Linked DNA regions of Anolis sagrei. The protein of the gene in region 1 binds, or shares a complex with, the protein of each later gene. Links are inferred from orthologs where the notes say so. Each region holds a gene or a part of one and is shown in the gene's direction. Other genes may lie near its edges. The genes, in order: SORT1, NTS and GRN.

Evidence for each region.
Region 2: the proteins of SORT1 (region 1) and NTS are in contact, whole or in part, in a crystal structure (PDB 4PO7), measured with the Homo sapiens proteins. The link is inferred for Anolis sagrei from reciprocal best matches to the Homo sapiens genes SORT1 and NTS. Residues at the interface, in NP_002950.3 of Homo sapiens: Val112, Ser113, Leu114, Ser115, Trp116, Lys260, Tyr304, Ser305, Phe306, Gly307, Leu308, Phe314, Ser316, Arg325, Ile327, Phe350, Tyr351, Ser352, Ile353, Tyr395, Gly399, Thr570, Gly571, Leu572, Ala573, Trp586, Trp597; in NP_006174.1 of Homo sapiens: Leu152, Tyr153, Glu154, Asn155, Pro160, Tyr161, Ile162, Leu163.
Region 3: the proteins of SORT1 (region 1) and GRN are in contact, whole or in part, in a crystal structure (PDB 8T8S), measured with the Homo sapiens proteins. The link is inferred for Anolis sagrei from reciprocal best matches to the Homo sapiens genes SORT1 and GRN. Residues at the interface, in NP_002950.3 of Homo sapiens: Leu108, Gly110, Ser111, Val112, Ser113, Leu114, Ile174, Gly175, Pro176, Lys260, Tyr304, Ser305, Phe306, Gly307, Leu308, Phe314, Ala315, Ser316, Arg325, Ile327, Phe350, Tyr351, Ser352, Ile353, Leu354, Tyr395, Thr398, Gly399, Thr402, Phe404; in NP_002078.1 of Homo sapiens: Pro578, Arg579, Trp580, Asp581, Ala582, Pro583, Arg585, Arg590, Gln591, Leu592, Leu593.

The regions. Positions count from the first base shown.
Region 1 is NC_090024.1:184,771,763-184,782,595, forward strand, and holds the start of SORT1 (sortilin), read left to right. Parts: upstream 1-6,689; 5' UTR 6,690-6,760; coding exon 6,761-6,964; intron 6,965-10,833.
Region 2 is NC_090025.1:151,525,906-151,535,971, forward strand, and holds the start of NTS (neurotensin/neuromedin N), read left to right. Parts: upstream 1-6,176; 5' UTR 6,177-6,235; coding exon 6,236-6,506; intron 6,507-10,066. UniProt on the Homo sapiens protein: Neurotensin may play an endocrine or paracrine role in the regulation of fat metabolism. It causes contraction of smooth muscle.
Region 3 is NC_090026.1:47,776,372-47,786,159, reverse strand, and holds the start of GRN (progranulin), read left to right. Parts: upstream 1-4,789; 5' UTR 4,790-4,871; intron 4,872-9,788. UniProt on the Homo sapiens protein: Secreted protein that acts as a key regulator of lysosomal function and as a growth factor involved in inflammation, wound healing and cell proliferation. Regulates protein trafficking to lysosomes, and also the activity of lysosomal enzymes.

The DNA.
Region 1 (10,833 bases):
GATCTTTAAAGCACTGAATTGATTATACACTACACCAGTGTATCAAAGTGACTTTTGAGAAACAGTTTAGTATCCCTGGCCCACCTTTTCACACTGAAAGTTTGCACAAAAAATCAGTTGCAGCACAGTTAAACCTTTGAAACGACCAGTGTTCAAAGACCACAGTTAAAATTACTGTATTGTTTCTTCCCTTAAGTAACTTAATTGCTGGTGTCTAATATCTTTCTCATCTTACATTACTACTGTGCTGCACTTTCTTCCTTTTCTGGCCAACATAGTTAGTAATTGAACTCCCAGCTATGTTGTGGCCTTGAAAGCTACTTCTGGAGCTCCTGTTTCTAGCCTTCTAGTGATACAGCTCCCTCATGTGGAACACAGAATCTCAACAAGGCAAGACATTGCAACTAGAGAATTGCTTTAAATATGCAACTTGCTAACATATAAAAAAAGAACCATACTTTTATAGGTAGAAAAATATTGTGCATTTCAAACTCATTACATATTTTCACTTGTATATTCCTGTGGCAAGGTATATGCCTTTGTAATACATAGAAACTGAGGTCCTACTCAAATCATCCAGCTGATTTCATGCGCCTCCTTAAAGTTTAAAGTTTGCCAGTCATCTGCTCTGTATTTCCCTTATTTGATATTATGGCCAAACATCACATTACAGTTTTTATTAGCTTTACTTTCATTTTGGCACACAAGGCAAGCCAATGATCTTGTGTCATATCCCGTTTCATTCATATCAATAACCTTTAACGATATAGCTTGAGGTCAGATGTTTGTAATAAAAGGGATAAAAGTCTATAGCAGTTTCTCAAACATGTAAGTAAACGATTTCATTTATTCCGAAACAATCGGTGAATGAACCCAGACAAATGCAGGATTCTTCCTTTTGTTGAAAAATTGGTGATGGGAAATCATATAGAATGTACTTGTTGAAGAAAGTAATGAATTGTTTGCCTCATCCGAACGGTAGGCAGACATCTTTAATGCTACAAAAATGTTCTCAATAATGTTTTGTTATCAGCTAGAAAAGACATATATGGGGGTATTGTAAAGGTTAACACAGAAATAAGGGGTGTATGTCCATTGGCTGTGTTTTCACTAAGCAAATGTTATTGGGTGTAATGAGCAATAAGCAGAAAAACGTCCCATGTTGGGCTAGGTACCACCTAACATATAGCAATGAGCTTATCCATTAGTGCCTTCTATTACCTGTAAGAATGGATCCACTGCGATTTAAGTTTGCATTAAATGTATAGTGTTCCTTTGAAACAAAAGCTCAGGGGAAGTAAATTGTAAAGCAAATGTGATCCTAGATTAAGCTGGTGTAATGCATTCTTCAGTGAGAATAGAGGTGTTTTAAATTTATAGGAAATGATATGAAGAGTTCTTTGAAAGCATAGAATGGTTTTTATTTCATCTAGACTTTGTTTAGTTTGTACAAAAAAAGGATCTCTAACATGTAAGACAAAGGCTTTTTATGTTCTCTTTTAAATACAGTTGGTAGTACCAGCTACCATGTGAGCAAACTAAAAAAACAAGACTTTGTTCCATTCTTATTTGAGCAGTAAAAGCAAGTCCTTCTTGATTGCTACAAACCAGCCAATTCCAAATGTTAAAAGCTGTATGTATTCATGTTGGTCTTTGAGTTATTAGAAAATTATACAAATCTTATCATATCTGTCATAGCATCAGAAAAAGTATATCTGTGTATCCCACTGTTCAAATCCAAACACTTTAAATAGCTAAAAAATAACTGTAGGGAAGATCTCTGATGGGTTCCTGCTTGTTTTCAAAACTCACAAATACATTATATTGTGCATCTTTTATTTTGAGGAAATGACATATGTCTGCAACAAGACATCATGAGGTCTTCCACATAGTGTACTGTAACTCATTCCACGCAATTGGCTGTGATGGCTGGAATGACAGAAATTGCAGTCCTAACAACCTCTGGAGTGTTGTATGATGCCCATCCTCCATAAGATAGTACATATTTTTCTTTGGTACTGATTTTTCTGAATCAGTTATAGCAGTGGTTCCCAACCTTTTTTTGACCAGGGACCACACTCCAGCATTAGTGCCAAAAGGGTTATGAAACAGGTTTTGGTCAACTTTAGATTTCGTTTGGGGGGCTGATTCAGAAAATTGCTTTGGATAAACCACATCAGCTCCAGTTTCCATGGTCAGCGACAGGGAAGGAGTAGCAGGCGGAGCAAGAAGAGTGGGAGAAAAATAAATAATGAGGAAGGAGGCTCACGGATCAGGTTTTTGTCCTCGTGGCCCATTGGTGGTCTGCCGCCCACACCTTAAGAACCACTGAGTTATAGGGTACATATTCCTGTTACTGAATTAGACATGAACTGGTATGCTGCCTTTGTTTGTACAGGTTCTGCATCAGCATGCTATTGTTTGCCTTCAAGTCATTTCTGAGTCATGGTGACCCTAAGGCTAACCTATCACAGGGGTTTTGTGGCTGAAAATATTCAGAGCTTTTCCCTTGCCTTTTGAGGCTGGGGAGTATGACCTGTCAACATCACCCAGTGAATTTCTATGGCAGATCAAATATTTGAACCCTGTTTCCCATTGTCCTAATCCAATACTCAGTCAACGATACCACTCTGGCTCTTAGTATGTGTTGTAATACAAACAGGCCACAAACTTCCTTGAGGGTTTTCTGTATCTAATCCCAAAAATGTGCAAAGCCAAAACAATTTATAATTCAAGGATTGTTTTTGGTTTCTCCCTACCCTAGAAAATTATTGTGAAATCACAAAGTTAAACTTTTAAATGAAGTTTGCAACTCCATGCTTCAACAATGCAAGCAGAGACAATATGAACTCTACATAAAATAATAATTTAAGATGGGTTATGTAATCCTGGTTAAATCTTTATAACATTTATTCTTCAATATAAGTGTATTTACTTAGCCTTCAAATAATTGCTACAATTAGTTGATAAAGGGTGTATACATTTCTGGAACACCCTGTATATATATAGTGGTCATAGCTGATGTTATGTAAACATCTCAGGGGAAAAATGTATACCAAATCGGATATGTATTAATGTTTTATTTTCTTATTTGTTCTAGTAAGAGCTGTCCCACCCTGTATTTATTGGCAATAATCACTAGGGAATGGTGGTTATCATTTCAAACTTGCCAGCTGCTGTTTCCTAATGGAGATTTAAATACAGTTGGTCTGTTGATAATTGTTATGTGGATAACCTGCACAAAATAATTACAAGTTCAAATTATGTTTTAAGATTAATGTCTGGATTTTGCATTAGCTGCAGCTAGAAACCAGCAAATTTCTTGAATATCCTGAATAACCCACAAAGTTTCAAAATGGTGGTATTTTGAAAAATAGCAGCTTCCTAAAAGCTGGCTCTTTGGAAGGATGTTATTATTCCAGAGTAATCTTAGCCAGCCTTTTTGTTTTAATCACATAATTATAGACTTTATAAATATAAAAGCTAAGAAACTGGTAATCAAAGTGGTGATCTTGCTTAGTTGCCTGTTGGTTTCCCCAGCCAACTTAAACACTTGGTCCTGATAAAGATTACACTCAGTGGCCCACAGGATTTTTATTGCTTATGGGGCAGTTTCCCAGAGATCAAGCTGTTCCTCAGCTAATTTCGGAAGGAGCCGTGTTGTCCCTTCTAGAATGTTTGCAAAGATTGCCAGAGATTATGGCAAGTTGTTTTCTTTCTTTTGGGAAGCTTGTTTCAGTTTATTCTGGTAATACTGTTTTCAGGAACAATTTAGAATTCTTTTTTCAAAAACAACAAACCTTTCTTCTATTAAAAATATTTTATCTATATCCTACTTTGTCAAGCTAGAAGATTATCTAATATGGTTAAAATACATCGAGGAATATAGTACTATAATAGTGGGGCTACTTCTGTCTCTTGAACAGGACTTTGGTTTGGGATTATATTAATTTGGTAATAGAAGTCTAATTCAACAAAAAGAAGCTTCCGGTGGCACAATGGGTTAAACCCTTGTGCCAGCAGGACTGAAAACTGACAGGTCGGAGGTTCGAATCTGGGGACAGCACGGATGAGCTCCCTCTGTCGGCTCCAGCTCTCCATGTGGGGACATGAGAGAAGCCTCCTACAAGGATAGTAAAACATCAAAATATCCAAGCGTTACCTGGGCAGCGTCCTTGCAGGCGGCCAATTCTCACACCAGAAGCGACTTGCAGTTTCTCAAGTCGCTCCTGACACGGGAAAAAAACATTCAACAAAATAGGAGGGTCCCAGGTTGAGGAAGCTTTCAGCAGTTTCTTGGGCTATTTTCTAATAATGATCTATCTTCAGTAGATAATTTTTGTCAATGTCACTGCAGTGTATATACATTATTTCAACATCTAATTTGTGTTGCATGCCATTATGTTTCCTTTTCCCCATCCCCAACAGTTTCATGTTGCAACCTTTTGGTTCAGTTTCCTGTTTGAACTTCAGTGCTTCCATTAGTGTTGCACCTAACATTGAGACACCCATAAAACCACTGCCAGTTTACTCAACTGGTTGCATTGCCTGTAGATTTCCATTTGTGTGCATTCTTTATTATTATTTTTAAATGGCCAGTTCAAATTGCTCAGTTCTTGGCCTTTTTAATTTTCCACCATCCAAGCCAAAAACCCTTCCACAATGGCATAAATATGTATGTATGTATGTATGTATGTATGTGTATATAGGGGCTTCCTTTCCTCTTTCTGACAGATGGCAATATTCCAACATGGCAGCATGCCCTTATTTGTAAAACAAAACCCCTTTTTACTATTCATGGAATAGATGAGGATCAAACTGGACATGTTCTTCAATAGGATTGATTATTGACTGTCTGCTATTTTATTTGTAAAAATTAAGGTGCAGGGCTGAACTAGTGGTTGGCTCAAGAAAAATATTTCCTACAATCCTGAATAAAGATAAGTTACCTAAGTAACTATATCAGAGAGACTGTGTTATACACACTGGAATTTGGACTGATACAGGCTGAGATCCTTTCACAACCATGAAATTTCCTGAGGGTGCATCTTATTAAACAATTAATGCAATTTGACATTATTTTGACTGTTGTGGCACAATACTATGGAATCCTGGGATTTGTTGTTTGGTGAGGCATTAACACTCTTGGATAGAGTAGGTTAAAGACCTTGTAAGTTGCAGCTCCTGATGATTCAATAAAATTATCCATCTTTGCTGTCTTATAGGAGACTCAGAGCAGCCATGGAAGTTAAATGTGGGGTTAAACTGCATTAACCCCAGGCGCACATACATTCCAACTTACTTTGCAGATTGGGATGGTGAAGTGGGAAGTGAGCCAAGAATTTTCACAATTTTGTAGGAAATGTGGCAGAAAATGATCATTTGATTTATCACAATTGTGCTGAGACCCTGTTTAATATAATCAGTTGTGCAGTTGATATAAAGGGAACAATTGTTAACCTTGTGAAACCCTTAGGGTGTCCCTACAGCAAGCTGATTCAACTGAAGAGAAAGGTTCAGAGATTTGACTGATAGCTTTGCTGTGTATCAATTTCTTCTCAAAATCATTTTTCCTTTGCCAGTGTATATTGACAAGTCTAACATTCAGAATACAACCTGAGTATTCCTTGTCTGAAACTGCAAATAGCTCCCAAACCTAAAATGGTCTACAAGGATGGCTGAGATAGTGATGGTTCAATATACACAAAAAAATGTCCATGCACAAAATAATACTGTATAAAACAATCATCAGGCTATGTGTACATTTTTCTTTTGTGTCAGGAGCGACTTGAGAACCTGCAAGTTGCTTCTGGTGTGTGAGAATTGGCTGTCAGCAAGGACGCTGCCCAGGTGACACCCAAATGTTTATACCATCCTATGGGAGGCTTCTCTCATGTCCCTGCATGAGAAGCAGGAGCTGACAGACTGGAGCTCACCCTCTTCCCTGGATTCAAACCGCCGATCTTTCGGTCAGCAATACTGCCTACACATGGGTTTAACCCATTGTGCCACTGGGGGCTCCGTATGTGTATATGAAGCACACAAATAATACAATCATCTGGCTATGTGTATGTCAAACACATGAATTGTGTGTCTAGACTTCAATCCATCTTCAGAGGTGCATCTACACTGTAGAATTAATGCAGTTTGACACCACTTCAACTGCTATGGCTTAATGCTATGGCAGACATGGTTCAAGATCTTGTAAAAGTATAACCCCTAAGAGTCCATCTCATTGAGCCATGGCAGTTAAGGTGATGTCAAACTGCATTAGATGTACGGTGTAGGTTCTCCTCTAGCCTCTCGTGGACTTCGTGTCCTTGCACTGCAGCCAATCAGGGCACGGCCTCGAGGATGTTTTAGGATTACTCCGAGGATCAGCAAAGGGACAACGCTGGTAGGCAATTAGCCAATGGGCAAGGTGCTCTTCAAAGTGGGGTGATGCTGCCCAGCTAGAGAATCTGACGGGGGGAGGCTCTTGCCGCGGGGAGCCAATCAACGACTGCAGTGCGGAAACGGACAAGGCGTTAACCCAATGAGAAAAAAGAAGCCGGGAGCGTTGGACGAATGGGGGAGAAGCTACCAAGAGAGGCAGGTTGTTGATCGAAGGTGGGTGAGATTGGCGTTTCCGGCAGCCAGTGACGTTGACATACCTGGTCGGCTTGGGCCAATGAGGGCGCGGGTGGGCGGGACGGGCCCGCCCCTGAAGCTTGAGGAGAGAGTTTCCTAGCGATTGTTGTTGTGAGCGGCGGCGGCGGAGATGGAGCGGGCGAGTTTGGCGCGGGTCGGGGTCTTGCTGCTGCTCTTGGCGGGGGCGCCGGCGCTGCTTGGCGGACGGGAGCTCCGGTTCGGGGAGGGGAGGCTGCGGGCCCGGCGGGGGGCCCAGGAGGGCCGGCCTGAGGCGGAATGCGGCCCGCGGGACGGAGGCTTCTCCTTGGAGGCGCTGAGCAACAACACCCACAAGGTGAGCGGGAGGCAAGGGTGGGGGAGACGGGCCTGAAGAGCATGAGACTTCGGTGCCTTCCGTTCTGTGGTGTCCTTCAAAGGGGCGTCTACACTTAAGAATTAACGCGGTTCGACACCGCTGCAGCTGCCCTGCCTCAAGGCTATGAAATCTAAGGAATTACTATTCACAGGGTCTTGGGTCTTCTCTGCCAGAGAGGCCACAAACCACAAATCCCAGGGTTTGCTTTGATACCGCTTTAAATGCCATGGCTCAAAGTTATGGCAGCCTGGGAATTGTAGTTTCACAAGGTCTTGAGCTTCCTTCGCGGTCTCTATATTTATTTATTTATTTACGACATTTATATGCCGTCCACCTCACCCCAAAGGGGACTCAGAGCGGCTTACAAGTTATATGTAAATACAATATATTATATTATTTACATAGCACCATATTAGTAACATGCATTCCCATATTGTACTATACCAGTATACTGTAATATTATTAGTAATATGACATGTAATATGAAATATATAATTATTATATTGTATTATTATTAGTATTATATTGTATTACATTATAATATTATCAACTATATTATAATATGCTAGCCGTCCCCTGCCACGCGTTGCTGTGGCCCAGTCTGGTGATCTGGAAAATAAAGTAATGGTTTCTAATATATGTAATTCCTTTATGCTTGAGGGTAAACAGTATTCCTTGTTGTTTCTATGTCGGTGTTGATGTGGAGAGTGTCTGGTTTGCCTACTCTGGAACATGCGACATAGAATTGTCCTTCTTTAGGGGTCCCTTTCAAATCTATAACACTATATCTCGCTCTGTGTGTGAATCATATCAATCTATCTATATCTATGTCTGGATGGCTCTTTGTCAGGACGACTTTGATTATATTTTCTTGCCCTCATGAAGGGAGTTGGATTGGATGGCCTTAAGTATTTTCTGTTGGTCATGGGGTTCTGTGTGGGAAGTTTGCCCCGATTCTGTCGTTCGTGGGGTTCAGAATGCTCTGATTGTAGGTGAACTGTGAATCCCAGTGACTACAACTCCCAAATGTCAAGGTCTACTTCCCCCAAACTCCACCTGTGTTCATATTTGGGCGTATTGAGTGCTCATGCCAAGTTTGGTCCAGATCGATCATTGTTTGAGTTCACAGTGCTCTCTGGATGTAGGTGAACAACAACTCCCAAACTCAAGGTCAATGCCCACCAAACCCTTCTAGTGTTGTCTGTTGGTCATGGGAGTTCTGGTGCCAAGTTTGGTTCAATTCCCTCGTTGATGGAGTTCAGAATGCTCTTTGATTGTAGGTGAACTATAAATCCCAGCAACTACAACTCCCAAATGACAAATTCATACTTTTTGAGTGATGGCCATTTCTTGTGTTGTGAGATGTTTTGTTGCCAAATTTGGTGTGATTTCGTCCATTGGTTCTTTTGTTTTTAAGGAACTCATTATGCACAGAGCATTTTTTATATATAGATTATTATATTATTGTACTACATTATAATATTATTGTATATAAATATATATGAACTATACATCCTAGGATTGAGTTGTATCAGTTCAATGTGGTGACAAACTGCATTAATTCAACAGTGTAGATCAGTTATAGGCAAACTTGGGCCCTCTGGGTGTTTTGGACTTCAACTCCCATCATTCCTAACAACCTCAGGTCCCTTCCTTAAGCGGCTGAGGGGGAAAAGGAACAGGCCTGAGGTTATTAGGAATGATGGGAGTTGAAGTCCAAAACACCCAGAAGGCCCAAGTTTGCCCATAACTGATATAGATGCACATTCAATTCAGCTTGAGAGTGACAAGGAAGATGCTGTCTCTGAGCATGTGCAGAATGCCTCTTAATAATCTCTCTGTCACTTCAAGTATGGCATAGGAGTTTCAGCAATCGTCTATGGGTGCACCTGCAGTGTTGAATGGATACAATCTGAAACCATTTCAACTGACATGGCTCAGTGCTATCAAATGATGGGAGTTGTAGTTTTACGACAGCTTGAGTCTTCACTGGCAAAGAGGGTTGATGTCTCACCAAAGTACAAACTCCCACAATTCCACGGCAGTTTAAGTGGCTTCAAGCTGTATTGAGCCATGGCATTAAAATCGGTTTTTAGTAGTGTTAAACCGCATTAATTAGACAGTGTGGATACACCCTACAATTCTAGAGATCTGGATTAGAATCCCCACTTGTTCATGGAAATCTTCTGGGGTGATTCTGGGTAAATCATCCACTCTCAGTCCCAGAAGCTTCCTTAAGGAACACAAAATACAACAAAAGATACACATTAGACATTCGGTAGGAGCTCCCTGTGGTGCAATGGGTTAAACCCTTGTGCTGGCAGAACTGCTGATTGACAGGTCTGCGGTTCGAATCCAAGGAGCGAGGTGAGCTCCCATTTGTCAGCTCCAGCTTCTCATGGGGGACATGAGAGAAGGCTCCCACAGGATGGTAGAACATCCAGGCACAATGGGTTAAACCCTTGTGCCGGCAGGACTGCTGACCGAAAGGTCTGCAGTTCGAATCCGGGGAGCAGGGTGAGCTACCGTCTGTCAGCTCCTGCTTCTCATGTGGGGACATGAGAGAAGCCTCCCACAGGATGGTAAAACATCCGAGCATCCCCTGGGCAATGTCCTTGCAGGTGGCCAATTCTCTCATGCCATAAGAAACTTGCAGTTTCTCAAGTTGCTCCTGGCACAAAAAAAGAAGATATTCAGTGCCTATTCCTCTTGAATCAGCTGACAGGTTTCCTAGGCCAGGTGACTTGCATTGCTCAGATAAGGTTTGAACCCAAGTGGCGCTCACTGCAAGAATTAAACATTGGTAATATGCGACACAAATAAGCATGTACGCTTTTGAGTGGACAGCCTGACGTACTTGTGAGGAAAGAATGGGGAAGAGCCACACCTTCAGAGCCAGGGAATATAATGACTTTGGAGCTAAGTCAAGACAGACTGACACTCTTTGGCACTTGAGTGCTATTCTTCCTAGGAAGCCAACAGGAATGTGCATTTAAATTGAGGGAATGGCAGAGTTCTCCAACCTAGTTAGCTTTTCAGCCATAGGGTGCACCAACACTGTACAAGTAATGCAGATTGACACCACCTTAACTGAGGAGCCCCCGGTGGCGCAGTGGGTTAAACCCCTGTGCCGGCAGGACTGAAGACCGACAGGTCGCAGGTTTGAATCCGGGGAGAGGCGGATGAGCTCCCTCTATCAGCTCCAGCTCCTCATGCGGGGACATGAGAGAAGCCTCCCACAAGGATGATAAAGACATCAAATCATCCAGGTGTCCCCTGGGCAACGTCCTTGCAGACGGCCAATTCTCTCACATCAGAAGCGACTTGCTCCTGACACGACAAAATACAAACAAACAAACAAACAAAAACACCTTAACTGCCATGACTCAGTATTATGGAATCCTAGGAGCTCTAGTTTTACAATGTCTTCGTCTTTGTCTGCCAAAGAAACTCACCTAACAACTCCCAGGATTCCATAACATTGAACCAAGGCAGTTAAAGTGATGTGAAATTGTATTGCTTCTGCAGTGTATATGCACCCTCAGAGCTGGTTAGAAGCATTTAAAAATGCAAAAGATCTCAGTGTGTGACATCTAGTTCACCCTGAAAAGATTTTCTTTATCCATTCTGAGGATTACTGGCACTTAGAGGGATATGAACTGGTTTTGAGCTTACCACTGTCTTCATTAGCCTGTGTTTTGTGTTAAAAGCCGATGGGCACTATTGGCTTTCATGTGAATGGCTTATCCTAAAGTAGCGAGACTCTGGAATTCGTTGGATGTGACTGGCAAGTGAGGAAGCCAGCTGCTACAGGATAGGTGTGCACAAATCTAAATTTTGGTTGCTCA
Region 2 (10,066 bases), on another chromosome or scaffold:
GGGGGCAGAGCAGCCTTCAATAGCCTGCAGCTCCGCCCCTGTCAACCACCTCCACCAAGTCTGGCCTCCTTAATGAGAGCATTCAACACTCCCCCCCCCCCCAACTTGGTTGCTACGCTACATCAGCTATTGCTGCAAGTAATGACAGTGTGAATAAATTGTCAATATTTGCTTGAGATAGTGCTTGCAGTTCTGGAGGGACTCTTAATTTTTTTGCATCTCATAGACTTAGCATGGGGATTTGGTTAACCAGTTAAAAATCATAAGTAAACCAGGTTTATTTTTTTAACCTGAAAAATTTCAGGGGGGGGGGAGTTGAACCCCTACCCCCCCCCCTCGCTACAGGCCTGGTTCCAGGGTCATTGTTGAATACTAGTGTACCTTTATTTTATCTTGGGGAACTGGTGGTGCCCAGGTGATTTGAAAAAGTCATTGTTTGTTTTGGGAAGTATAGTAATATCTCTGGATGAAGGGTGAACTACAACTTCCATTCGGTTGGGCCATTCCCCCTCCCCATACCTCCAGTATGTTATGTTGGTCACCAGGGTTCTGTGTGCCAAATTTGGTCCAGATCAGTTCTCGGCTGTAATCAGTGCTCTCTGGACACCTGGTCATGGGGGTTCTGTGTGCCAAATGTGGTCCAGGGCCATTGTAAGTTGGGGTCACAGTGCTGTGTCTTGATGCAGGGTAAACTACAGCTTCCATCCTGTTGAGCCACTCTCCCATCACCCTCTAGTATGTTCAGTTGCTGATAATTCCTCTGTTTGATGTGTGCCATAGAAAAGGGTAGGAAAGGTTTAAGGGAGAGACAGTGCCGGGGTCATGCAAATTCCACACCAATGGAAAGGAACACTGGGGTGTTTGCCCTCACTATAACCTGCAATGTCATAGCAGGGAGTGCTTTTGGTGGCTCCTCAGCACTGTAGATTATAGGTGTTTGTGGAGGCGGGAGGCTATCTGTGTAAGTGGATACCTCCGCTACATATACACATATACATTTTCATTTTTATTATGTGTAGATAGATAGATAGATTAAAATACTTCTCTGTTTATATGTGCCTTCAAGTTGCCTACCAATATACAGCAACCCCATGAGTTTCACAGGATTTTCTTAGGCAGTTTTGCCAGTTTCTTCCATTGATATATAGCCTACAACATTTGGTATTCATTGACAGTCTCTCATCTAAGTACTAACCAGAGTTGACTCTCCTTAACTTCCAAGATCAGACAAGATCTGTATATTTAGGCCCTAATATCAAATGCCTTTATAGCAGCATGTAAATAAAATCAATGCAAATGAGTTGAACTATTTTGAAACAATAACATAAGTAATCTAAAACATAATAAATAAAATACAATTAATAAGATAACATAATTTCAAATCATGTATGTGCATTAACATTTTGAGGAAATTATTTGAGGCTCAAATGCTTTAATCATGATTCTACTTGGTACCTCAATGAAATCACAAATCAGCATTGATGCCAATCAGTCTTCCAATGGAAGGGTATGTCATAGTTGCAGTGTCACTGCTGAGAAAGCCCTCTCCCACATCCTCATACAATGTATTAAATTCATTGATGAAACACAGAAGAAAGCCCTCTAAATCCTCAGATAGGCACACAGCAAGATAATAGATATGTGAGGACAGTTGAGAAAAGGTAGGAAGATCTGCTTATCCACTAATTAGAACACATATCCACTAATTAGAACACACACATAGGCATTTGAGAACTGGCTTACAAGATATATTTTGTGCCAGCATGAACCTCATGCTTTTTACCTCCTTCCCTTTTCTTAAATACACCCCTCCCCAAAATAAGGTGACTTTCTATAAACGGACTGAAAATAACCTTATCTGAGAATGCACAGACCATGTGCCATTCTTACTGAATTAATGCAATGTTGTGTAGTGATGTGTGTGTCCATTCAAGATCCACAGTTAATTCCTTGCCTAGTCAATTTTTGTACCTGACACTTCTTCATTGTAATTCAATGGAAAGAGTGTTGTAATCTAACCAGTGAGAATGAAGATTTAAACCGAGCAGACCTGGGTTCAAATCATACTCAAAAAGGCGGCTTGGGTCAGTCAATGTAGCTCAGCCTAGCCCACATGATGTGCTGATAAAAAGAGAAGGGAAGGAGGCTGAGCTGAAACACCACAATGTTATTCAAAACCAGAAACAACTTCTCAAAATGCTTACATTATCTGTAAAATTGCCCTGGTGCATATGTAGTAATTTATTCATTTTTTGGGTTGCCCTTGCCATAAATCAGCCAATGAATTGACTCCATACAACAACATCTGATATCAGCCATCAAGCCAATGTCTTAAATCAAGAAATAGCTTCCCAAGATCTACAGAGATACAGGAACACCTCAGCAAGTGAGAGTCCAAAAGTGGCAGGTTAAAACTCGGAACCTCAATCAGTGGCTGATACCAGATGAGAAACTTCCTCCTGGGCACATGGAAGACTGGGCGACTTGGAAGGCACTGAACAGACTGTGCTCTTGTACCAAGAGACACAGAGCCAATCTTAAGGCATGGGACTATAAAGTAGAGTCCAGGACATGCAAGTGCACAGAAGAGCAAACCATGAACCACTTGCTACAGCGCAGTCTTAGCCCTGCCACATACACTATAGATGACCTTCTTATAGCAACACCAAAGGCATTCCAAGTGGTCAGCTACTGGTCAAAGTACATTTAGTATAATGCTATTTTTTTCTATAATGGTGGTTCTCAACCTGTGGGTCCCCAGATGTTTTGGCATTCAACTCTCAGAAATCCCAACAGCTGGTAAACTAACTAGGATTTCTGGGAGTTGTAGGCCAAAACACCTGGGGGACCCACAGGTTGAGAACCCCTGTTCTATACGTTATAACTGTATTCTCAATTCACTTCTGACATGATATATAAATAAACAACAGAAATAAACAGCTTCAAGCCACCTGTTAGGTCAAGGTGACCCCATTCATTTGGTAAAGTTTCCTCAGCTCAGTTCCTTTTTTAGAAATACAATGATGGAGTTTGGTTCCAGGACCCCATGGATGCTCAACTCCCATTATATTCAAGGGGTTAGAAAACAGTGCCCCTTACATAAAATAGTAAAATTTGAATTTGCTTTCTGGAACAATTTCAAGCCATGGATGGTTGAATTCCAGGATGCAGAACCCTTTGATACAGAGGGCCCATTGCATAATGTATGTCACTTGGTACCCAAATACTAACCAGGCTTGAGCATGGGTTGCTGTGAGTTTTCTGGGCTGTATGGCCATGTTCCAGAAGCATTCTCTCCTGATGTTTCACCCACATCTATGGCAGGCATCCACAGAGGTTGAGGCATCTGCTGGAAACAATGGCTATGTCTTTGTGTGATAATGTGATGTTATTTTATGTGATGTGTTTAATAATGTTTAATGTTTTATCAGGGGTGGTCAATTTTGATGTTTTATACTAATTTTTAATCAATGGCATTGAATTGCCCTGAATCCCCTTCAGGGTTGAGAAGGGCAGTATATAAATACCACAAATAATAAATAAATACATAAACTTGCCTAGTTTCCAACAGAACCCTCAACCTCTGAGAATGGCTGCAATAGATGTGGGTGAAATGTCAGGTGAATGCTTCTGGAACTTGGCCATACAACCTGGAAAACTCACAGCAACCTAGTGAATCCGGTCAGGAAAGCCTTTGACAACGCAGGGTTGACCCGGTTTAGGTTTAATATTGAAAGACACATAGAAATACATGCTCTCATATGTTAGCCCTCATGTTTGAACTTAACAACAACAACAACAACAACAATAAACTTTATTTATACTCTGCCATCTCCCCAAAGGAACTCAGGATGGCTAACATGAGGCCAAGCCCAAGGATTACAATACAGCAAAGTAAAATACATCAGCAAATAATAATAACAAAGAAAAATACAATCAATAGCAAATACACAATAAACAACACAAAATAAAATAGTAGAAGAATAAAAACACAGTGGGTGGGCCAAATGCACAAGATAAAATTGATAAAGCCCTGGGTGAGATTTATTTTATTTATTTATCGTGTCAGGAGCAAACCAAACTGCAAAAGCTTGCAAACTTGGCATTCTATTAAATGTCCTTTGAGGCAGGGCTCAGATTGCATTGTAGTAGGTGGTCTGTGGTTTGCTCTTCTCCACACTCGCATGTCGTGGATTCCACTTTGTAGCCCCATTTCTTAAGGTTGGTTCTGCATCTCGTGATGCCAGACAGAAGTCTGTTTAATGCCTTCCAAGTCGCTCAGTTTTCTGTGTGCCCAGAAGGGAGTCTCTCATTTGGTATCAGCTGTTGATTGAGGTTCTGGGTTTTAGCCTGCCACTTCTGGACTCTCGCTTGCTGAGGTGTTCCAGCGAGTGTCTCTGTAGATCTTAGAAAACTATTTCTTGATTCAAGTCGTTGGAATACTGGCTGATATCTAAACAAGTGAGATTAGATAAATGGAGTAATGTGTATCTGGGAGGAGAACTCAGAAGGGTGAACAGTGTGGTTAACCTTCACTAAGGGATGGGAGAAAGTGCATCAAGGGATGGATACACACACACACACACTTCTAATACACACGCAAGCACACCGGAAAACTATGGGCACATCTACACTATAGAATGAATGGGAGCCCCTGGTGGTGCAGTGGGTTAAACCCCTGTGCCGGCAGGACTGGAGACCAACAGGTTAGAGGTTTGAATCCGGGGAGTGCATGGATGAGCTCCCTCTATTAGCTCCAGCTCTCCATGTGGGGACATGAGAGAAGCCTCCCACAAGGATGGTAACACATCAAAAACATCTGGGCATCCAGAGATACATAAGATACCAGAAGAAGAAGCTTGGTTGGAAAAGATACTTGACATAAGAAATATGGACAGACTTTCCTACTTGATGTCTAAAAATAAAGGAAAGCCGATAAAAGAAACAGATTGGACAAAAGTTACAGAATACTTAAAACACAAAACTGTATGATATTAATATAACATAACATAAGAGAGAGAGAGAGAGACCAGACGAAAGGAAGGGAGAAGGATAAACAAGATGGAAAGGAAAGAAAGAAAAAGAAGATACCTCACAGAGGATACTCAGGAAGTTGGGACTGAAATCTATTTGGTTGATGGTTTCTTTTCATTATTTTTTCCCTTGTTTTATTTTATCGTTTCAATCTTCCCCATTCTCTTTCCTTGTTTGTTTCTTTTCTTTTCCCTTTTCTTTTAAATTATGATTGAAGCTTCTATATAATATGGAAGGTCAAGGGTAAAGGTTTTCCCCTGACATGAAGTACAGTTGTGTCCGACTCTGGGGTGTGGTGCTCATCTCCATTTCTAAGCTGAAGAGCTGGCGTTGTCTGTAGACACCTCCAAGGTCACGTGGCCGGCATGACTGCATGGAGTGCCATTACCTTTCCGCCGGAGCAGTACTTATTGATCTACTCACATTTGCATGTTTTCGAACTGCTAGGTTGGCAGAAGCTGGGGCTGACAGTGGACGCTCATACCGCTCCTCGGATTCGAACCTGCGGCCTTTCGGTCAACAAGCTCAGCAGCTCAGTGCTTTAACCCACTGCACTACCGGGGGCTCCATATAATATGTATTTTAATGAAAACTTTCAATAAAGATTATTTTTAAAAAATATCCGGGCGTCCCCTGGGCAACGTCTTTGCAGACAGCCAATCCTCTCACACCAGAAGCGACTTGCAGTTTCTCAGGTCACTCCTGACATGACCAAAAAAAGAATGAATGGGGTTTGACACCAATTCAACTCCTGTGGCTCAATGGTAAGGAATCCTTTGGGCTGCAATCTGTTGAAACACTAGCACTCTGGCAGGAAAGACTAATCATCCCATACCACTGAGCAATGGCAGTTTAAAGTGGTGCCAAACTGCATTCAGTTGGGGAGGGGAGAGGTTGCAGTGCGAACTTTCTGTTCCCTCTTTTCTCCCCCATTTTTTTTCCTGTTTTGTCCTTCTCTTTGTCTCTGACCCCTTTCCCCCCGCTTTCCTTCCTCGGTCTTTGCGTCAAGAAGCGCGAAATCACGCCTCGCAATTAGGGAACCGCGTCAGTTTCCCCCCGAAAGAGGCTCCCGGAGGGGAGGGGAGGGGAGGGGAGGGGAGGGGGGAGGAGGCGTTGCATCCAACGACAGTGGCTGCGGCGCCTCCGTGACATCAGTCGCCCGCTCCCTTATATACTCCGGGACTGGTCCAGGGCTGCCCTTATGGTCCAGACCTTCAGGAAGCAGCTCCAGGCGCTCGGAAAGGGAGAAGGCAAGAGCCCGATCTTGGCGCGCTCCTCCGCCCGCCTCTGCCTCCCTCTCTTCCTCTCTCCAAACTTCCTGGCCGATTGGCCTCCCTCTCTGCCGCTCGCACGCCCCTTCTTGCATGGACTTTGCCTTCTAGAAGGAGAGAGGAGGATGGCGACGAGGATGCTGAGGATGCAGCTGGCGTGCGCGATGCTGCTTGCCTTCGCCTCCTGGAGCGTGTGCGCAGGTAAGCAAGCGGCGCCTCCTCGGTTTAGGCAGCCTGGCTCTCTCAGGCGAAGCCCGTGAGAACCAAACTCCACCTAGGATGAGGCAGCCCTGGTAGTCCTTTCCAAAGGGAGGAGTTGGGACCTGGAGGGTCACTTTCAAAAGTTAGGAGTTCCTGCTTGGCTTTGGAGAAGGCTTCTAAGCAACTCAGATTTGACAGGTTCTAAGTTATATATGTTGTATGGGTATCGTTTGAAAAAACCCCCGCACCCATTGCCTGGCTGACTTTTTAAGATTCACCTTTAAGCTAATAGAAGAGTTCCCTTCACGTCCATCTTTTGGAAGGAGGCTTCTGCTTTGGCTGTGTCACCTTAAATGCCATGTGGGCTCCATTAAGAAAGAGCATTATAGGAATGAGTAAAGCCATGGAGTTGGAAGGGATTCCAGACCTCCTCACACTAGAGAATGAATCCACTTTAAATTCGGTTTCTGCCTCCTGCAGAATTCTGAGTTTGTAGCTCAGGGAGGAGCCTTTAACAGCCTCCCTAAACTACAAACCCCAGAATTCTGCTGCAGGCAGAAACCGGATTTAAAGTGGATTCATTCTCTAGTGTGATGTAGGAACAAGAGTCCAATCCACTGCCCAATGGACCGAACTGTCTGGAAAATTGTGGTATATTTTTCACTGTGCCAAAATATATGTGGGCTGTACTAATTTGGATCAAATTGGGTCATTTTAATGAATGAACAAAAGGCTTTTTTTCCATGTCAGGAGCAACTTGAGGAACTGCAAGTCGCTTCTGGTGTGAGAGAATTGGCTGTTTGCAAGGACATTGCCCAGTGGACACCCAGATGTTTTACCATTCTGTGGAAGGCTAATCTCATGTTCTTGTATGAGAAGCTGGAGCTAACAGAGGGAGCTCACCCCACTCACCAAATTCAAACCACCGACCTTTCGATCATCAGTCCCTGGTGGCACAGGGGTTTAACCCATTGAGCAACCAGGGACTCCAGCAAAATGCTCATGGAGTCATAAACTCAGGACCCAATGAACATGAGCTGCCAAAAGTTCTGGTCAGAGACAACCAATGTATAAGAAAAGCTGAAAAACCTTATAATAACCATGGCAAAATGGATAGCATGAACCATGGGAAAAACTATAGCTTTTTAGAGCTATCATTGCTTTTGTTAACTCATTGAGAACCAGAAAGGCTCCTGCAAATCACCCAATCCTGTACTCCTTTGTGGTCTAGCCCAGTGCTTCTTAAGCCGTCTGATGTGGGAGAGACACTTGTGTGCCAGGGATCAAAAAACCTGACAACAACCATGGCAAAAAGGTCAGCATTAACCATGGCAAAACTATAGCTTTTTAGAGCTATCATTGCTTTTGTTAACTCATTGAGAATAAGAAAGTTTCCTGCAAATCACCCAATACTGTACTCCTTTGTGGTCTAGACTGGCACTTCTTGTCTGGTGTGGGAGAAACACTTGTGTGCCAGGGATTAGTGCCATATTTATCTCCATTAACTATAGCTGTTTCCCCCCTCCTGAACACAGGGCATGGCAGTCACTAGCTTACTGGAGTCAGTTCACAGAACACTTTGAATATCACTGTTCCAGACCACACCTGACATATCATGAGATTAGCAATAGGTGACCGGAGCCCCCAGTGGTCCAATAGGGTTAAGCCAGCAGGACTGAAGACCGACAGGTCGGAAGTTTGAATCTGGGGAGAGGGTGGACAAGCTCCCTCTGTCAGCTCCAGCTCCCCATGCAGGAACATGAGATGAGCCTTCCACAAGAATGGTAAAACATCCGGCCATCCCCTGGGTAATGTCCTTGCAGACGGCCAATTCTCTCACAACAGAAGCGACTTGCAGATTCTCAAGTCACTCCTGGCATAAAAAAAAAGCAATAGGCGCATTTTTGAAACCTGCTTTGTGGCACAGCACTACAAGCTTGTTTTTATGACAGGTTTTTTTTCCCCATCAGTAGACTGGAGTAATGGTAGAGATCTTCTTTAGAGACTGTTTGGAGAAATAATTGTGAGAATATGTTGTTGATTCTTACTACTTCATGACACTAGAGAATGAATCCACTTTAAATCTGGTTTCTGCCTCCTGCAGAATTCTGGGGTTTGTAGTTTAGTGAGGCTGTTAAAGGCTCCTCTCTAAACTACAAACCCCAGAAGTCCACAGGAGACAACAACCAGATTTAAAATGGATTCATTCTCTAGTGTGATGTGGTCCTAAGATGGAGAAAGGTTCAAAATCTAGGAGAATTTCTTATCTCAAACTATATACAATATTTCTTAAAAGAGCAAAATGTTGATCTGTTCAGACTTAACATCCAACAGTGGTCTCTATTTCATATGAAAGTCAATGTTTACAGTTATTCTAAAAGTACATCCAAAATTCAAGGTGTGAATCAATATATAAGCAGATTATCTGAAAAAAGGAAAAAAGAAGTATTTCCTTAAATTTCATTTAATCCCTCCTCCTCAGGCCATGTTTCATAACTGAAACCAGTTTTACTTGTTATTGTTATTGTTATAAGCCTTCGTGTCAATTCTGGTTTACTGTCAATTGTATTCTCTTGGTCAGATTTATGTAGAGAAGTTTGCCATTGCCTTCTTCTAAGGATGAGAGAGTTTTACTTGATCCTGATTCTCCATTATACCTGAGGATTGCAGACTCTGGTCTTAAAATCATAGAATCCTAGAGTTGGAAGAGACCTCATGGGCCATCCAGTCCAACCCCCTGTCAAAAGGCAGGAGAATCACATTCAAATCACCCCTGACAGATGGCCATCCAGCCATCTTCCAGAGTCATTTCATCATGCTATGTTGAATCTCTTGGATTTTAAAGAATAAAAACATAATTATTTCAAAAAAAATCTGAATTTTATCTTATAAAATATTGTTTTATGGCATATTTTCCAACATGGTTTTTCAAAATATTAAAATAAGTGGTATGAGGAATTTACATGAGTTCCAGAGATACTTATTACTATTTCTGAAATAGTTCATGGAAGAATTTAGAGAAGGGGGAAAAAACCTCTATAGTTCTGATTCAGGATCCCTGTATCCAGGTAAAACTGTATAGTACATGATTCAAAATAAAAATGTGTGTGCAATGTAAAATCTAAGTATGTATGTATGTATGTGTTAAATACTAGAGAAAACTGATTCTCTAAAGTCAAAAGCCGTAATCCTGTACAGTTACACGACAAGTCCTTTTTAATCCAGTTGGATTTACAAATCCTGTGTGAACCCATATCTGATGTTTATTTCCAAATTATATTTTGGGTTATATCTAACTGAAAAAAAAGAATGCTCCTATCCAGGGCAAAAAAGGTTCTAAAAAGATATAAACATTTGTATAATTCCAATTATTCTCACATATTTGAATTATTGATCATATTTGATCATAATATTGTAATACAATAAAATAATAACAATATAATATAATATAATAATAATTATATTTTTATATTTCATGTAATATTACTAATAATATTGCAGTGTAGTGGTATAGTACAATATAGTAATATATAATACTAATATTGTGCTATGCCAATAAT
Region 3 (9,788 bases), on another chromosome or scaffold:
ATGTGACCCTGCTGGTTCTCTTGGACATCTCAGTGCCTTTTGATACCATTGATCATGGTATCCTTCTGGAATGACACACCGGGATGGGACTTGGGGGTACAGTCCTGCTGTGGGCCCGGTCCTTCCTGGAGGGTCGCTCCCAGTTGGTGAAGTTGGGAGACACCTGCTTGGACCTCTGGCTGTTGACCTGTGGGGTCCCGCGAGGTTCCATTCTGTCCCCCATGCTCTTAAACATCTACATGAAACAACTGGGTGAGGTAATCTGGAGTTTTGGTGCCATCTCTATGCAGATGACACCCAACTCTACAACTCTTTCCCACCAGAATCCAATGAAGCCCCTCGGGTGCTGAACCAGTGCCTGGATTCTGTGACGATCTGGATGAGGGCGAACAAGCTGAAGATTAATCCCAACAAGACAGAGGTCCTTCAGGTCAGTGGTAAGTCTGACCGGGGTATAGGGGGGCAACCTGTGCTGGATGGGGTTGCACTCCCCCTGAAGACACAAGTCCGCAGCTTGGGGGTCCTCCTGGACTCAGCGTTGACGCTTGATGCGCAGGTGTCGGTGGTGGCTGGGAGAGCCTTCGCACAATTAAAGCTTGTGTACCAGTTGCAGCCATACCTTCTGAAGTCTGACTTGACCACGGTGGTCCATGCCTTAGTTACCTCTAGATTGGACTATTGCAATGCACTCTACATGGGGCTTCCCTTGAAGATGGCCTTGAAACTCCAATTGGTCCAAAAGTTCGGCAGCTAGATTACTAACTGGGGCAAATTATAGGGAGTGGCCAACCTCCGTTTAAGGAGCTCCATTGGCTGCCGTTCATTTTTTGGTCCAAATTCAAGGTGCAGGTTATCACCTATAAAGCCCTTAACAGTTTGGGACCCGCCTATCTTTGTGACCACATTTCCTACCACCAACCTCCACGATCCCTTAGATCCTCTGGGGAGGCCCTCCTTTCGTCCCTTCCTCTATCATAGTTACAACCTGTGGGAACAAGGGAGAGAGCCTTCTCCCCCATGGCCCCCCGGTTTTGTAACTCGCTACCTAGTGAGATTAGTCAAGCCCCACCTTAGCAGCCTTTAAGAAAGGTTTGAAAACTTGGCTTTTCCGATGTTATCTTTGGAGAGTGACCATACATCCCATTTTTGTTTATTCCATCTACAGTTTTGTCCTCATGATGCACTTTCCTCCGTCCTTAACGAAAGGCTGAACCCCACTGATTGTCTTTTTGGGCTCTTCCATCATTAATACACTCCTTCACAAATACACTTTCCCCCCCACTCCTATCTCATCCAGGGTTTTATCATTTTATCTCGTGCATTTGGCCCGCCCATTGTGTTTGACTTTCTATTATGTTATTTTGCATTGTTTATTTTATCTTGTTCATTATGTATTTTATTATGATTTAATTTATTGTTGTTTTGTATTTTATTTTTCTGTATTGGATTTTTGGGCAAAACAGCAGAGAGTAAACAATCAGGCACATCAAATCACTCCCAACGAAAGATTCCCCCCAGGCACTTCCAAGCCATTAAATGCTAATCAAGGTGGTCAGTTGAAACATTCACACCTAGCTCCAGCAGACAAAGGTCCTTTGTCCCACCCTGGTCATTCCACAGATATATAAACCCATTTTCCTACTTCCAACAGACCTCACTACCTCTGAGGATGCTTGCCATAGATGCAGGCGAAACGTCAGGAGAAAATGCCTCTAGAACATGGCCATATAGCCCGAAAAAACCTACAACAACTCATTATTATTATTATTATTATTATTATTATTATTATTATTATTATCTTTATAATAATAATAATAATAATAATAATTGTTATTATTATTATTCTCTGCCAAAAAAAGCTCCCAAACTACAACTTCCATTACTCCATAACATTGAGCCATGCCAGTTGTATCAAACTGCATTAAACCTACAGTATAGATGCATCCTAAGACTGTAATTAGACCACTATAAAGGTTGTTTCAATCATTAACAGCCAAGGCTACAAGCAATACTAAGAACACTAAAAAGAGCTGCTTTGGCTATGCTCAGCCAAAAGCAAAACAAAGACTGAATGGGGTGTAGCAATACAGCAATGAAACCAGGACGACTCCACGCCTGTTTTGACTTGATCTTTTGCAGGCAGAATTGTTTTTGACCTTGGAAAAGAAGAATAAGTCGCAGAAGGAGGAACTGAGAAGGCAGGAATAATCTTATCAGAACATTCTGGTGCTTTGAAGGAGTTGAAAGGCAACTCTGCATGAAGTTTTACTGTTATATGGCTTGTTTTTAAAAGGGAAGGAGAAATTGTAACTTTTCAATTTCTTTCCCAGCATTTGCATCCTTTTTTCTTCTTACCAGAGACTATAAGGATAAGGAAGAATGGATGGAATGACTTTGGATGCATCTTGAATTATTTTATTATTTTATTATTTCAAATATTTATACCCCACCCTTCTCAATAAAATAAAAATAATAATTCAGGGGGGGACTCAGTGCGGCTTACAGCCGGCAAAGATTCGATGCCCTTATATACATATAATAAAACACAATAATTACATATAGACAAAAACATTAAATCAATTCAATTGGGCTTGTTCTCCAGACTCTTGATCATTTTAGTCGCCCTCCTCTGGACACATTCCAGCTTGTCAATATATATCATCAATTGTGGTACCCAGAATTGGACACAATATTTCAGGTGTGGTCTAACCAAGGCAGAATAGGGCTAAACATGCCCAGCTCTTTAAGCCGCTCCTCATAGGGCTTGTTCTCCAGACCCTTGATCATTTTTAGTCACCCTCCTCTAGACACATTCCAGCTTGTCAACATCTCTCTTCAATTGTGGTGCCCAGAATTGGACACAGTTGTCCAGGTGTGGTCTAACCAAGGCAGAATAGGGCTAAACATGCCCAGCTCTTTAAGCCGCTCCTCATAGGGCTTGTTCTCCAGACCATTGATCATTTTTAATCGCCCTCCTCTGGACACATTCCAGCTTGTCAACACCCCTCTTCAATTGTGCTGCCCAGAATTGGACACAGTTGTCCAGGTGTGGTCTAACCAAGGCAGAATAGGGCTAAACATGCTGAGCTCTTTAAGCCGCTCCTCATATAGCTTGTTCTCCAGACCCTTGATCACTTTAGTTGCCCTCCTCTGGGCACGTTCCAGCTTGTCAACATCCCTCTTCAATTGTGGTGCCCAGAATTGGACACAATATTCCAGGTGTGGTCTAACCAAGGCAGACTAGGGCTAAACATGCCCGGCTCTTTAAGCCGCTCCTCATAGGGCTTGTTCTCCAGACCCTTGATCATTTTAGTCACCCTCAACACCCCTCTTCAATTGTGGTGCCCAGAATTGGACACAATAGTCCAGGTGTGGTCTAACCAAGGCAGAATAGGGCTAAACATGCCTGGCTCTTTAAGCCGCTCCTCATAGGGCTTGTTCTCCAGACCCTTGATCATTTTAGTCACCCTCAACACCCCTCTTCAATTGTGGTGCCCAGAATTGGACACAATATTCCAGGTGTGGTCTAACCAAGGCAGAACAGGGCTAAACATGCTGAGCTCTTTAAGCCGCTCCTCATAGGGCTTGTCCTCCAGACCCTTGATCATTTTTAGCCGCCCTCCTCTTGACACGTTCCAGCTTGTCATCCCACTTCAATTGTGGTGCCCAGAATTGGACACAATATTCCAGGTGTGGTCTAACCAAGGCAGAATAGGGCTAAACATGCCTAGCTCTTTAAGCCGCTCCTCATAGGGCTTGTTCTCCAGACCCTTGATCATTTTAGTTGCCCTCCTCTGGACACATTCCAGCTTGTCAACACCCCTCTTCAATTGTGGTGCCCAGGATTGGACACAATATTCCAGGTGTGGTCCAACCAAGGCAGAACAGGGCTAAACATGCCCAGCTCTTTAAGCCGCTTCTCATAGGGCTTGTTCTCCAGACCCTTGATCATTTTAGTCACATTCCAGCTTGTCAACACCCCTCTTCAATTGTGGTGCCCAGGATAGGACACAATATTCCAGGTGTGGTCGAACCAAGGCAGAAGAGGGCTAAACATGCTGAGCTCTTTAAGCCGCTCCTTATAGGGCTTGTTCTCCAGACCCTTGATCACTTTAGTTACCCTCCTCTGGACACATTCCAGCTTGTCAACACCCCTCTTCATTTGTGGTGCCCAGAATTGAACACAATATTCCAGATGTGGTCTAACCAAGGCAGAATAGGGCTAAACATGCTGAGCTCCTTAAGCCGCTCCTCATAGGGCTTGTTCTCCAGACCCTTGATCATTTTAGCCTCCCTCTGTTTTAGGCCAATTTGGAGCCTTATTAGAGTACTAGAAAACAATAATCCTATGATTCCACAGCATTAAAGTGGTGTCAAACCGAATTAATTCCACAGTGTAGCCTGGAAAGTGACTTTTGGGGGGGGGGGGGGACTACAATTACCACAATGTTGACAAGGATTCTGGAAAGTGTGATTTAAAAAAACAAAACCAAGCCATTTTCCCTGCCCTCTGCATGCACTCAGAGACACCCTTCTCGGTTACCACTTCCGGGTTTAATGCCTGGCCTGACCCCTCTTTTTTCTTTTCTTCCCTTCTGTCACGTGCGATCCTTCCCAACCCGAGGAGATCATGCGCGCCTTTGAAAAATTGAGAAAGAGGGTCATATGATCGCCTCTGCCAAGACCCACTGCGGTAGGATGGGCCCAAGCTGCGAACCAGCCAATCAAATACGAGGAACCGGCGTTCTACCTACCTACGCCACGCCCCCCTGGGGAAAAACAACCAATCCCCTTGCGGTAGGAAGAGAGTGCATTCTCTGAGCCAGTCTGTGCATTAGCGGGTTGGAACTGGCTGCAGTGGGAAAGCCTGGGTGAGTTGTGTTTACATTGGAATTGTATAGAATACTTTTCAAAATCACTGTTAGGCGTTTTGAGTTTAGTTAAGAGAGCAAAAGCGGCATATAGATCAAAGTAATGATGATGATGATGATAGTAGTTGTAGTAGAAATTATAATAATAATCATCATAATAATAGTTGTAGTAATGATAGAGTAATAATAATAATAATAATAATAATAATAACTAGCTGTCCCCTGCCATGCGTTGCTGTGGCCCAGTCTGGTGATCTGGAAAATAAAGTAATGAGAAAGTGTTGGTTCCTAATATATGTAATTTATTTATACTTGTGGATAAACAGTATTTTTGCTGTATTGTCGAAGGCTTTCATGGCTGGAATCACTAGGTTCTTGTGGGTTTTTTCGGGCTATATGGCCATGTTCTAGAGGCATTTTCTCCTGACGTTTCGCCTGCATCTATGGCAAGCATCCTCAGAGGTAGTGAGGTCTGTTGGAGTTTGGAAAATGGGTTTATTTATATATCTGTGGAATGACTGGGGTGGGGCAAAGTGCTCTTCTCTGCTGGAGCTAGGTGTGAATGTTTCAACTGACCACCTTGGTCATGTTTCAACTGACTGGTCATGTTTCAACTGACCAATGAGCATTTGAAGGCCTAGCTGAGCCTGGGGGAATCTTTTGTTGAGAGGTGTTAAGATGTGCCTGGTTGTTTCCTCTCTGCTGTTTTGCTGTTGTAATTTTAGTTTTTTTAAATACTGGTAGCCAGATTTTGATTCCCCCAGGCTCAGCCAGGCCTTCAAATGCTAATGAAGACGGTCAGTTGAAACATTCACACCTAGCTCCAGCAGAGAAGAGCTCTTTGTCCAACCCCAGTCATTCCACAGAAATATAAACCCATGTTCCAAACTCCAACAGACCTCACTACCTCTGAGGATGCTTGCCATAGATGCAGGCGAAATGTCAGGAGAAAATGCCTCTAGAACGTGGCCATATAGCCCGAAAAAAACCCACAAGAACCTAGTATTTCTTGCTGTTTCTTTGTCAGTGTTGATGTGGAGATTATCTGGTTTGCCCACCCTGGAACATGCAACATAGAATTGTCCTTCTTTAGGGGTTCCTTTCAAATCTATGATACTATATCTCTCTCTGTGAATCATATATATATCTATAGCTGGATGGCTCTTTGTCAGGAGGGCTTTGATTATTTTTTCTTGCCCTGGTGAAGGGAGTTGGACTGGATGGCCATAAGTATTTTCTGTTGGTCATGGGGGTTCTGTGTGGGAAGTTTGCCCCAATTCTGTCATTCGTGGGGTTCAGAATGCTCTTTGATTGTAGGTGAACTATAAATCCCAGTAACTACAAATCCCAAATGTCAAGTTCTCTTTTCCCCAAACTCCATCTGTGCTCACATTTGGGCATATGGAATATTCGTGCCAAGTTTGGTCCAGATCCATCATTGTTTGAGTCCACAGTGCTCGCTGGATGGAGGTGAACTACAACTCCCAAATTCAAGGTCAATGCTCATCAAAACCTTCTAGTGTTTTCTGTTGATCATGGGAGTCCTGTGTGCCACGTTTGGTTCAATTCCCTCATTGGTGGAGTTCAGAATGCTCTTTGATTGTAGGTTAACTATAAAGCCCAGCAACTACAACTCCCAAATGACAAAATCAATTTTTTGAGTGATTGTCACTCGTTGGCCTGATAGGTATCTTGTGTCCAAATTTGGTGTCAATTCGTCCAGTGGTTTTTGAGTTATGTTAATCCCACAAACGAACATTACAATTTTTATTTATATAGATATATCAGCCATGATAGGCAACAAATGCCTTCCTGTTCAGTGAGAGATTTGAAGTATAGCCAGCTAGGGACTCCTGCTTTCTCATTTCCTGGCTTCCAGAATGCATCTACACTGTAGAATTAAAGCAGTTTGATACCACTTTAACTGCCATGACAATACTATGGAGTTATGGGTATTGTAGAATTTACAAGGTCATTCTTTAGCCTTTTCTGCCAAGGAGTGCTGGTGCCTCACCAAACTGATTCCTCACAGTTAAAGTGGTACCAAACTGCATTAACTCTACAGTGTAGATGCCCCCTGGGTTAGATGGAACTGATCTGTGTTGTTATGGTTGGCGGCATCTACGCGATGGAATTAATGCAGTTTGGAACTACTTTAACTGCCAATGCTGTAGAACCATAGGAACTGTTATCTTCAGTTATCTCTGCCGAAAAGTATGCAGGATTGCATAGCATTGAGCCTTGGCAATTATAAGTGGTATCAAACTGCATTAATTCCTCAGTGTGTTGTTGTTTATTCGTTCAGTCGCTTCCGGCTCTTTGTGACCTCATGGACCAGCCCACGCCAGAGCTCCCTGTTGGCTGTCACCGCCCCCAGCTCCTTCAAGGTCAATCCAGTCACTTCAAGGATACCATCCATCCATCTTGCCCTTGGTCGGCCCCTCTTCCTTTTTCCTTCCCTTTCCCCCAGCATCATTGTCTTCTCTAGGCTTTCCTGCCTTCTCATGATGTGGCCAAAGTACTTCAACGTTGTCTCTAATATTATTATTATTATTATTAAACTTTATTTGTACCCCGCTAGCATCTCCCAAGGGATTCGATGCGGCTTACAACAGGCCGAAGCCCAGCACAACACAATACAACAATACAATACATAGCAAAATAAAACAAAATAAAACAGTTAAAGCAGAAAACAAAGGCAATAACAATACAACAGGACGTTATTTAAAAAACTGAGCCGGCTGGGGTGGGGTACAGGGTTAAAAGTGCTGAAAAAAGTGTCGGAGGGATATAAGATTAAGATATAAGTACGGTGTGCGTTGAAAGTGATCTTGGCTCTACTAAAGTGCTTCTGGGCTTTGATAGTGGGGATTCCTAATCTGAGAAGGCACGTTGGAATAGCCAGGTTTTCAGGTTTTTTCTAAAGACCGCCAGGGTGGGGGCCTGTCTGAGATCTTTCGGGAGGGCATTCCAGAGGCGGGGGGCCACCACAGAGAAGGCCCTGTCCCGCGTCCCCACCAAACGCGCCTGTGAGGCGGGTGGGATCACGAGCAGGGCCTCTCCTGATGACCGGAGCGAGCGTGTGGGTTCGTAGACTGTGATGCGGTCTCGTAGGTAGGATGGTCCCAAACCGTTCAGGGCTTTGTAGGTAAGCACCTGCACCTTAAATTGGGCTCGGAAGATAAATGGCAGCCAGTGGAGCTCCCTAAACAGGGGGGTTGACCTCTCTCTGTAGGGGGCCCCGGTTAGCATCCTGGCTGCTGCCCGTTGGACCAGTTGAAATTTCCGAGCCGTTTTTAAGGGCAGCCCTACGTAGAGCGCATTGCAGTAGTCCAATCTAGAGGTGACTAAGGCATGGACCACCCCGGCCAGATCAGCCTTCGCGAGGTACGGGCGCAGCTGGCGCACAAGTCTCAGTTGTGCAAAAGCCCCCCCGGACACCGCCGACGCCTGAGCCTCAAGCGTGAGCGATGAATCCAAGAGGACTCCCAAGCTGCGGACCTGTGGCTTCAGGGGGAGTGTAACCCCGTCCAACACAGGTTGCCACCCTATACCCCGGTCTGGTTTGCGATCAACCAGGAGGACCTCTGTCTTGTCGGGATTGATCTTCAGCTTGTTCGTCCTCATCCAGATAGACACAGCGGCCAGGCACTCGTCCAGCACCCGAGAGGCCTCCTTGGAATTAGGTGGAAAAGAGTAGTAGAGTTGTGTGTCATCTGCGTAGAGATGGCACCCAACTCCAAAACTCCGGATGACCTCTCCCAGCGGTTTCATGTAGATGTTAAAAAGCATGGGAGATAAAATGGAGCCTTGCGGGACCCCACAGGTCAAAGGCCAGGGGTCCGAGCAGGCATCACCCAGCTTCACCATCTGGGTACGTCCCTCCAGGAAGGACTGGAGCCACGACAAAACCGTGCCCCCAAGGCCCATCCCAGATAGCCGACCCAGAAGGATACCATGGTCGATGGTATCGAAAGCCGCTGAGATGTCCAAGAGGACCAGCAGGGTTACACTCCCCCGGTCTAGTCCTCTACGGAGGTCATCCACCAAGGCGACCAAGGCTGTCTCGGTGCCATGACCAGGCCTGAAACCAGACTGTGCCTGATCCAGGTAATTGATGTCATCCAGGAAGCTCTGGAGCTGGAGGGCAACCACCCGCTCCAGCACCTTACCCAAAAAAGGGAGGTTGGAAATCGGTCTGTAGTTGTTCAGCACCGTAGAGTCAAGGGATGACTTCTTTAGGAGTGGACGAACCACAGCCTGTTTCAAACTAGATGGAAAGATCCCTTGCTCCAACGAAGCGTTAATGATCAACACAAACCAATCAACCAACCCCTCCTTGGCAGATTTAATAAGCCAGGATGGGCAAGGGTCAAGAGCCGAAGTGGTCGCCCTCACAGCCCCAAGAACCTCCTCCACGGTCTCAGGAAGAACAAGCCGAAAAGAATCCCACAAAATTGGACAAGCAGATGCCTCGGTCACCTCTCTTGGCGCTACAATAAGATTGGAGTCGAGCTCAAGACGTATCTGGGCAACCTTGCCTGCAAAGTGGTGTGCGAAATCGCAACACCGAGCTGTTGGGTCGTCAGGGGTCCCCTCCACCACAGGTGGGTGAAGGAGCTCCCCGACAACCCGAAACAGCTCTGATGACCTATTTGCTGCAGACGCTATCCGGGCGGTCGTGAAAGATTTCCTGGCCGCCTGAATAGCCACGGAATATGCCTTAAGAGAGGCCTTAGCCCGTGCTTGATCAGATGCGTCCCGAGATTTCCTCCACTTGCGCTCTAGCCCCCTTCTCGTATGCTTCATCACAGCCAACTCCTCGGTAAACCAAGGGGACGGCCTATCATGACGCAATGAGACGGGGCGTTCGGGAGCGATCGTGTCTATCGCCCTGGACATCTCCCTGTTGTAAAG